2 linked regions of the Macaca fascicularis genome follow. The protein of the gene in region 1 binds, or shares a complex with, the protein of each later gene. Links are inferred from orthologs where the notes say so. Each region holds a gene or a part of one and is shown on either strand. Other genes may lie near its edges.

The links. The genes of interacting proteins can lie anywhere in the genome.
Region 2: the proteins of RAB8A (region 1) and RAB3IL1 are in contact, whole or in part, in a crystal structure (PDB 4LI0), measured with the Homo sapiens proteins. The link is inferred for Macaca fascicularis from reciprocal best matches to the Homo sapiens genes RAB8A and RAB3IL1. Residues at the interface, in NP_005361.2 of Homo sapiens: Lys10, Phe33, Ser35, Phe37, Ile43, Asp44, Phe45, Lys46, Ile47, Gln60, Trp62, Thr72, Ile73, Thr75, Ala76, Tyr77, Arg79; in NP_037533.2 of Homo sapiens: Arg104, Glu108, Leu111, Glu112, Thr115, Ala116, Phe119, Glu120, Ala122, His123, Arg127.

Annotation. Positions count from the first base shown.
Region 1 is NC_088393.1:16,426,071-16,430,891, reverse strand, and holds the start of RAB8A (ras-related protein Rab-8A), read right to left. Parts: upstream 3,123-4,821; 5' UTR 3,104-3,122; coding exon 2,980-3,103; intron 1-2,979. UniProt on the Homo sapiens protein: The small GTPases Rab are key regulators of intracellular membrane trafficking, from the formation of transport vesicles to their fusion with membranes.
Region 2 is NC_088388.1:12,062,807-12,067,726, reverse strand, and holds the start of RAB3IL1 (guanine nucleotide exchange factor for Rab-3A), read right to left. Parts: upstream 3,113-4,920; 5' UTR 3,021-3,112; coding exon 2,869-3,020; intron 33-2,868; exon of another isoform or gene 1-32. UniProt on the Homo sapiens protein: Guanine nucleotide exchange factor (GEF) which may activate RAB3A, a GTPase that regulates synaptic vesicle exocytosis. Promotes the exchange of GDP to GTP, converting inactive GDP-bound Rab proteins into their active GTP-bound form.

The DNA of each region.
Region 1 (4,821 bases):
GGGAGGCTGAGGCAGGAGAATGGCGTGAACCCGGGAGGCGGAGCTTGCAGTGAGCTGAGATCCGGCCACTGCACTCCAGCCCGGGCGGCAGAGACTCCGTCTCAAAAAAAAAAAAAAAAAAAAGAAATTCCTAGAAGACAGAAGGCTACAAATGGAAGGAGGGGAATGAAGGGGTGAGAGGGAGGGATCCTGGGGTCAGGTGCCACCTTCACCTTGCTAGGTAACTTTCACCAAGTCACATCCTCATCTGCAAATGGAAGACAGCCTCTTTAAAGCTCAAAGTAACTCTAAAGAGGGGGGGTCTGGGCTGGGCGCAGTGGCTCATGCTTGTAATGCCAGCACTTTGGGAGGCCAAGGTGGGCGGATCATGAGGTCAGGAGTTCGAGACCAGCCTGGCCAACGTGGTGAAACCCTGTCTCTACTAAAAAAAAAAAAAAAATACAAAAATTAGCTGGGCATGGTGGTGGGCACTTGTAATCCCAGGTACTCAGGAGGCTGAAACAGGAGAATTGCTGGAACCTGGGAGGCGGAGGTTGTAGCGAGCCGAGATTATGCCACTGCACTCCAGACTGGGTGACAGAGCGAGACTCCATCTCAAAAAAAAAGAGGGGGGGTTTGTGGGGAAGGTGCTGAGGCCGGGAAACTGGGATCTGAGTGAAGGCAAGCCACAGTCTGCCCACAGTTAACATAATTTCTTTCTTTCTTTCTTTTAAGATAGGGTCTCGCTCTGTTGCCCAGGCTGGAGTGCAGTGGCGCCATCACAGCTCACTGCACCTTGACCTCCTGGGCTCAATCAATCCTCCCATCTTGGCCTCCCAAGTGGCTGGGTCTATACGGGTAAGCCAGTATGCCCGGCTAATTTTATTTTATTTTTTATAGAGATGGGGTTTTGCTATGTTGCCCAGGCTGAATTAACGCCACTTCTTGATCGGTTGGGGCACAAGAGTTACCCTAAAGTTTGGCCTTGGAGTTGGGGAGGGGGAAGAATTCAGAACCATCTGTCTTCAGAGGCTGGATGCTGTCACTGCAGGAGCCATTCATTCATTTGCTTCTTCGAGATGGCCTCTGGTTACGGTGATAACCCCTTATTGTCTAATTCTAATCCTCAACCACCAGGGCACTAGCCCAGGAGACAGCGTCACTCCTGCTCTAAAGACAGCAGGGCTCAGAGAGGGGCAGTGTATGTTCAAGGGCAAACAGCAATTGGAAACCAGACGTAACGATTTCCAGTCAGTTCTCTCTACTTTACATCAGGCATATAACTGTTTTATAAAGCACAGCTATCCTGGGTGCAGTGGCTTATGCTTGTAATCCCAGCACTTCGGGAGGCCAAGGTAGGTGGATCACAAGGTCATGAGTTTGAGACCAGCCTGACCAACATAGTGAAACTCATATTTACTAAAAATACAAAAATTAGCTGGACGTGGTGGCGGGTGCCTATAGTCCCAGCTACTAGAGAGGCTGAGGCAGGAGAATTGCTTAAACCCGAGAGGCGGAGGTTGCAGTGACCCGAGATAGCACCACTGGATTCCAGCCTGGGCAAAACAGCTAGACTCCATCTCAAAAAATAAAATAAAATAAAATAAAATAAAATAGAATAAAATAAAATAAAATAAAAAAAGCACAGCTCCTGGAGGGGGGCAAGAATGGAATCAGCACATTATCGTGGGGTTCAGGGAGAAAACATGATTCTGTTGAAGTGACACAGTAAAGCAAAGGCCATTCCCTACGTTTTCGTGACTTGGAATAAACTCCTTAGTGACCGTTCCCCCATTTTCCCCATCCCTAGCAGGGCTACAGAGCTCCCAGGCCACTCAGACTGGTGTTACTCCCCGGTCTAACCTTTTCATTGTGGGCCAGGACTGCTTTTGTGGCACTGAGAGAGGTCAGTTCCACTTCTGCAGACGGCACAACTGAGATGCACCAAGCCAATTCTGTTCAACCACAATGTGGGCTGGCCCTACGGGAAAAGCTGTTCTAAAGTGACAACCGGAGTCTTGGGCCCTTTGATAGGGAAGTCAAGGCTGTCTGTGGCAGTGGCTGATTTAGTTGCTCGCTGAGGCTTTTATCTTGCATCTTCTTGCAGATGACAGGTTCCAGGGCAGGCAGTGCTGTCACTTGTCATTATTGTCATCCTGGAGCAGGATGAAATGTGGGCAGGGAAAAGGTCCTGACTCCTCTTATCATTCCTTCTAGAGGAAAATACACTTATGAGGGGAAGAATGGTCAGGGAGAGGGGTTCAACTTCTGAATGCTCCAGAGAAAAGAGCAGGAATGGTGTGGGTTACAGTTCCGGCTCCAAGGTGCATTAGCTGAGCTTGTCATCAGCTGGGAGTGTGAGGTGGCATCTCTCTAGGATAGCTAAGCCTCGAGTTTTGGGTTGAGACACAGCCAGGTTCAAATTCCATCAAATCCCATTCTCACCACCTGCAGACTGTGTGGCCTTGGGCAAGTTCCAGGCCCACCCTGAGCCTCAAATTCCTCATCTGTGAGACGGGCTCAAAACAGCACTTAACACCGAGAACTGGAGAGTGTGAAAATGCACGGGAAGCACTTGGCACATAGTAAATGCTCATTAAGGTGAGATGTTACCGTCTTTTTCCCATGGCCAATTCCCCATGACTCAGTTTCCACTTCTGTAAGGCAGGAGCCTCAAAAGAACCGCTTTGAGGGCTGCTGCTAGGACAGATCGAGAGGACGGGCGCGAAGACCCCAGCCCAGGACATAACACTCCCTAACGAGCGGGCTGAGGGTCGGAGCCTCAGTCTCCCCATCTGCAAAATGGGCACCTGGTCTCCCCCACCACGGCCCAGGAACCCCCGAACGGCGGTACAGGCGACTGCTCTTCTCCCCTTAGGCCCCCTCGACCCTCTCAGCGCCCTCGGCCAGTCCAGCCCGGTAGATCCCTCAGCCCCAGCCCCTCAGGGGCGCGCCCAGCCCGGGCCTCTGGCGCCCCCAGCCACTCCCCGGTCCCGCTACCTATGGTGGAGATAAAAGTGGAGTTGAAGGCGTCCTCGGAGAAGCGGAACAGGACACAGGTCTTCCCCACCCCCGAGTCCCCGATCAGCAGCAGCTTGAACAGGTAATCGTAGGTCTTCGCCATATTACACTCTCTCCCCGACGGGAAGTGCGGCCAGCGCCTCTCCACTGGCCACCAGCACCGTCCATCAGCGCCGAGCCCGCCCCTTATTGGCTCCAGGCCCGCTGCGCGTCACCGCGGCCGACGCCCGCCCCTGCGTCCCGCCAGTCGCGGGGAGACCTGGGGAGGGGGCGAATGGAGCGCGGAGCCGGAAGCAGCCCGAGCGCACCTCCCATTGGCCGGCACTAGGGAGAGGACGGGCTCTGATTGACCAGCAGTGAAGAGTCGTGGGGCTTCAAATGGGGACGAGGCGGGGGCGTGGCATTATGTGGCCCCCGCCTTCCACCCCCTACTCGGGCGGCCCGGCCCCGCCCCACTACAGGAGAGGGAACGCAGGGAGCGTCGCCAACGGCTCGCGCGCCGGCAGCCTGGGGGGCGGGGCTTGGGGTGCGTGCTCACGCGCGCCCGGAGTTCCGTTAGGCGACGGCAGAGGGCGCAATCCTGTACTTGGGGCGGGTATCTCTGGGTCCCGCCGTCACAACTCGCGCAGGCGCAATAGGCCCCGAGGCGAGCGCGGGAAACCATGGTAGCGCTCTCAACCTGATCTGCGGCCTCCGAGTCGGGGCAGCGGGGGCCGACGGAGGAAGGAGAGAGGAGACACTGTATACTCGAAAAGTGACCCGGGCCGGGCGCGGTGGCTGAAATCCCAGAACTTTGGGAGGCCTAGGCGCGTGGATCACGAGGTCAGGAGTTCAAGACCAGCCTGGCCAAGATGGTGAAACCCCATTTCTACTAAAAATACAAAAATTAGCCGGGCGTGGTGGTGGGCGCCTGTAATCCCAGCTACTTGGGAGGCTGAGGCAGAGAATTGCTTGAATCTGGGAGGCGGAGGTTGCAGTGAGCCGAGATCGCGCCTTTGCACTCAAGCCTGGGCGACAGAGCAAGACTCCATCTCAAAAATAAATAAATAAATAAAAGTGACTCAAGACGAGTTCCGAGGTCTGCGGCCTAGCGACCTGCTTACAGATACCCAAGGCCTCCGCCACCTGAGCGGCTTCACCGCCACAAGCTGTGCCCCGAAGCGCGCGCCGGCCTCCTCAGGGTCCGCCCTCGGCCGCTTTAGGAGTTGTCCGGGCCAGCCCGGGGGGTTTAGAACAGTGAGGATGCTTTAGAACAGTGAGGATGCTTGTTCCTATCTAGGGGCCAGGACTCTCAACACTGAAAAAACAGGCCGGGGCTGTGGCTGCCACCTGTGATCCCAGTGCTTTGGGAGGCCAGGAGTTTGAGGCTGCAGTAAGCGGTGATCGTCCCACTGCACTCCAGCATGGACGACAGAGCGAGAAGCCTCTCAAAAAAAGAAAAAGGCCGGGCGCGGTGGCTCACGCCTGTAATCTCAGCACTTTGGGAGGCCAAGGCGGTCGGATCACGAGGTCAGGAGATCGAGACCATCCTGGCTAACGGTGAAATCCCATCTCTACTAAAAATACAAAAAAGCCGGGTGTAGTGGCGGGTACCTGTAGTCCCAGCTACTCGGAAGGCTGAGGCAGGAGAATGGCGTGAACCCGGGAGGCGGAGCTTTCAGTGAGCCAAGATCGTGCCACTGCACTCCAGCCTGGGCAACAGAACAAAACTCCGTCTCAAAAAAATGAAAAAGAAAAAGAAAAGAAAAAGAGGAGAGATACATTAGGAAAATCGGGCTTGCAGCTGGGTGTGGTTGCTCAGGCCTGTAATCCCAGCACTTT
Region 2 (4,920 bases), on another chromosome or scaffold:
TCAGCCCAGCCCGCGGCCGGTCAGTAGGTCTCAGCTGCCTGGGCTCGCGGCCCCCAGCCCAGCCCCGACCCTGCCCTGGGCGGGTCACGTGGCGGAGGGGGGCGGCCCGAGGACACGTGCCCGGCCCCGCCCCTCGCCGGCCGGGCGCTGGGATCGGGCGCGCGCTCCCAGGGCCCGGCCCCACCCGGCCCGCCGCGCCGGGACAAGGAGACCGCGGCGCGGGGAAGGAACCCGGCCCCCAACATCCCGCGGCCCGCGCCGCGCTCAGACTCCCTAGCTGACTCGTCCTCTCCAATCGCCCTCTGCACCACCCACTTTGGGCCACCCCTGCTCAAGAACCTACAATGGCTCCCGGGCTCTCAGCTCTTGGATTCTCACACAGATTGTCACTTAAGGCCAGCAGACACCCTCCCCCATCCTCACCGGCACTCCTTCCCTAGTCTATCTGCTTAGTGCCTGTCCCTGTGCAATATCCTGCCTGCTGGGAAGGGGAGGGGACAAACCCGAAACAAGTTTTCTGAGTCCTACTCTCTGAGTTTTACCCCGAAGGAGTTTCCACTTCTGGTCCAACTCTCCTCACCCAGCCTCCTGCCTCTTAACACACTGTGCCCATCCCTGCCTTTACCCACCATCTGCCCTCTGGATAGTATTCCCCACCCCACCCCCACCAACACACACACATACGCACACCTGTCTGGTTCCTCATCCTCCGTGAAACCTTTCCCTGAATCCCAGACCACTGGTCTACCTGTCCCTCAGTTCCTCTGTCCCACCCATTCTGAGTCCTGATCATTGTTCTCAACTTCAGCCTGGGACTGGACCAGTAAGAGCAGAACCCCTCTTCTCTCCCACCAGGAACCATGGCTCCCACCTTCCCTGTCTGGGGGAGGACTGGGAGCTTGGGGGGAGGTACTTGCCCTTCTAGGTGCTACCAGAGGTCCTAGTGCTGAACCCCTCCAGGCCCACTGACTCAGGCCCCAGGCTCAAGCTAGTCAGATCTTCATTTGAGGACACATTTTATTCATTCATTCAACTCATTCATACATTCAGCCACTCCATCTGAGCATAGTCTATGGGCCATGCAAGGGCTGGTGACCCAGAAGGAAACTGTGCAGACATAGGCTCTGCCCTCCTGGGGCTCCATGATGGAGGATGGAGGATGAGGGAGGTATTCTCTAAGACCTCCATGTCCAGAGTACAAATAGACAACAGTGCTCTTTCCCCACTGGGCATAGTGCACAACAAGGTAGGGAATCTGGAGAGTGGAGGCGAGGCTGGATTCTATGCCTTGCTTGCTCCCTTGGCCAGCATTTTGTGCAGTGAACAACCTTGGCAGTTCTCCCTAGCATCCCTTCCAACTTTCTAGAATCATTCAGCCCAGGCGTCCCATAGCCATCACGCAGCAGGGCAGTTGTTTCCATGGCCATGGCTTCCAGAGGGCAGGGATTCTCTCTTTCTTGGAGCTGTGTTCCCTCACCCCGCCCCCAGCCCAGCTCAGGGTCTGGCCCACCCAAAGCAGATGTCCACATGTGTTTGCTGGCTTGAATCCCTCATCAGTAGGTCTTGAGCAACTGTTGTCTTCCTGGCCCTTGTTTTGTTCACTATTTAGAGAAGGAGGAGAAAATGACACAAAAGGAACCCAGCACAGGGCCCTTGCCCTCAAGTCTTCACAAGCACCGGGAGGAGGTAAGTCATGGCAACCCAGACCAGTGGGAGATAAAGTGGGTGGAGGAGGCGTCAGCTCAGGGCTATGTCCCTGGAGGAAGAGTCCTCAGCCTGGGACAGCTGGTGGACTGGGGAGGCCCTTGAGCGAGGTCTCGAAGGACAAGTGTGTGGTCACCACTCAGAAAGCATCGACACTCAATTTCTAACCAAAAATAGCCTGTCATCCATGCTTCCTGCTACCATGGACTCCTAGGCCTCACTGCCTCCCCCAGTAGGGAGGACCCTACTGCTCAGCTGAACTTGCTCCTCAGCCAAAAAGGATGGGCTCAGAGAAGTTAAGGAACTTGCCAGATATCACACAGCCAGGGGCAGTGGGGCTGAGTCCTCTTACACCAGTTTTCCAAAAAGACCATCCAGAAACTAGAAGCTCACTGGCAGCTGCAGCTGTGTGCAGCCAGGCAGCAAGAGGTTCCCGAGCACAGGCTATAGGTTCCTGGCCAGTGGCAGGGAAGGGAGAAATAAAAGTTGTGTCTGGGCCAGGCGCGGTGGCTCACGTCTGTAATCCCAGCACTTTGGGAGGCCAGGACAGGCGGATCACCTGAGGTCGGGAGTTTGAGACCAGCCTAACCAACATGAAGAAACCCTGTCTCTATTAAAAAATACAAAATTAGCTGGGCGTGGTGGTGCATGCCTGTAATCCCAGCTGCTCAGGAGGCTGAGGCAGGAGAATCGCTTGAACCCGGGAGGCAGAGGTTGCTGTAAGCCGAGATCGCACCATTGCACTCCAGCCTGGGCAACAAGAGCGAAACTCCATCTCAAAAAAAAAAAAAGTTGTGTCCTCTGCCCACAAGCCACTGCCCTCCTGACCCTCCCTCCCTCTATCCCCCTCTGCCTGCTACATCCCAAGCCTGACAGCCTTGACCACAGACCCTTGGCTGAAGGCAGCTGAGGAGTAGGAGACAGTCAGCCTGGATGACCCAGGCCCTGATTCTGGACTTACAAGTCTGACCTCAGCTCACTGTGTGACCCAGGACGAGTGTCTTGCCCTATCTGAGCTTCAGTCTCCACCTCTCTACAGCCACCAAATTGGACAAGACAGTCAGAGCCATTCCCTAGGACTCTCTGAGCCCAGCTTCTCACACCGGCTGCCCTGAAGCTCGCCAAGATTCCCCCTCCCCTCCATGCCGCAGGTCCTGAGCTCACCTTTCTGTGCCCCAGGGCTCTTCTCTCAAGCTCCCCTCAAGTGCAGGGCACAGGCCTAATGGGGCGTAGCGGACAGTCCCTGCACTCATGGCCAGGAACACGGGGCATGTCCCTCGGGCGGGGCACCTGGCGTGCTCCTCAGAAGAGTCCATGCTTGGAAGGCCAGACTGAGGGTCCCTCTGGAGGGTGCTGGGAAGGGAGGTAGCAGGAGCCTTCTTCCCCCCACTAGGCTGGGCCTCACACTAACCTTTGCTATCTCCTCAGAGCAGCAGCCTGGGAGGGAGGCACCACCTCCCAGGACAGCCGCTATCTCCTTCAACCCCGTAATTATTAACTCCTGTGGCTCCTCAGGCAGCAGAAGACACTGGGCCCTCCTTCCTGGGCTCTGGGCCAGGGGAGATGAGACACCTCAAGAGGAGGCCCCGTGTTTCAGCCAGGCTCCCAGATGGTCTACTTGTCCCCTCGCCACACAGGCTGGGGCGTTGGAAACTGCCTGTCCAGCCTTGACCCTGTCATAGCTGTCGTAAGCTGGCTGTGGAGCCCTGACAGGCCCTCCCGACTGTGACCACAAGCCTGAATATCCACTTAAAACTTTGTTATTGGCCGGGCACGGAGACTCACGCCTGTAATCCCAGCACTTTGGGAGGCCGAGGCGGGCAGATCACCTGAAGTCAGCAGTTCAAGACCAGCCTGACCAACATGGTGAAACCCCGTCTCTACTAAAAATACAAAATTAGCCAGGCATGGTGGCGCATGCCTGTCATCCCAGCTACTCGGGAGCCTGAGGCAGGAGAATTGCTTGAACCTGGGAGGCGGAGGTTGCGGTGAGCCGAGATTGTGCTATTGCATTCCAGCCTAGGCAACAAGAGCGAAACTCCATCTCAAAAAACAAAACAAACAAACAAACAAAAAACTGTTATTATTATTATTTTTTAATTCTTTTTCTTAAATTTGAGATTCCTAGTTTTGTCTTTTTTTTTTTTTTTTTTTTAATTTTTCAAGGCAGGGTCTCACTCTGTCACCCAGGCTGGAAGGCAGCCTCAAACTCCCCGGCTCAAGCCATCCTCCCACCTCAGCCTCCTGAGCAGCTGGGACTCCAGGCATGTGTCACCATGCTTGGCTAATTTTTAATTTTTTTTTTTTGTTTGGAGAGACGGGGTCTCGCTACCCTTAAAACTTTTCACCACCACCACCCAGGAACAACTCAGTGGTAGCAGCTGGGAGCACAGGCCCAGGGTCAGACAGGCTGGATTCAACCCCACTTTCAGACGGTGTGCCTTTGAGCACGTTAGCCTCGTTGTGCCTCAGTTTCTCCAACTATGAAATGGATTCTCACCCTCCAAAGCACACCAGGCCAGTTGCCACTGCCCAGATGTGCCCATTCCTCTTCTTTCCACATACTATCCCACCTGTCTGCAATCTCCACTGCATCCTGCCTCTGCTGGTAAGTTTCTCTTTTGTTCATACCCCCTCCTCTAGGAAGCCCTCCCCTGTGGGTTACTTTTTTCCTCTGCAGACACTAGAGCCCTCAGACACATGGTTAGCCCTGCACATGACAAACACCCCACGGAACTGGTGCAACTCCCGCAAGAACTGAGTGGCCCTCTGCGCAGAGGCTGGGCCATCCTCGTCACCCTTCTCAGTGTCCCCTTGCCTGGTACACAGACCCCATCCATCTGTGGGATGGTGTGAATGTGCCACCCTGTCTTCATTTGGCCCGAATTCTCATCCTAGTTCTGCCACTCGCTGGCTGTGTGGCCTCAGGCAAGTCACTTAACCTCTCTGGGACTCAGTTTCCTCATCTATATAAAATGGGAACAGTTCTCCCCTGTGAAGTAGTGAGTATTAAAGCAGATAACATTTGTGGCCAGGTGCAGTGGCTCACGCCTGTAATGCCAGCACTCTGGGAGGCCGAGGTGGGAGGATCGCTTGAGCCCAGGAGTTTGAGACCAGCCTAGGCAACAAACTGAGACCTCATCTCTATTATTAAAAACAAACAAACAAACAAAAACCCGTCTCTACTAAAAACACAAAATATTAGCCGGGTGTGGT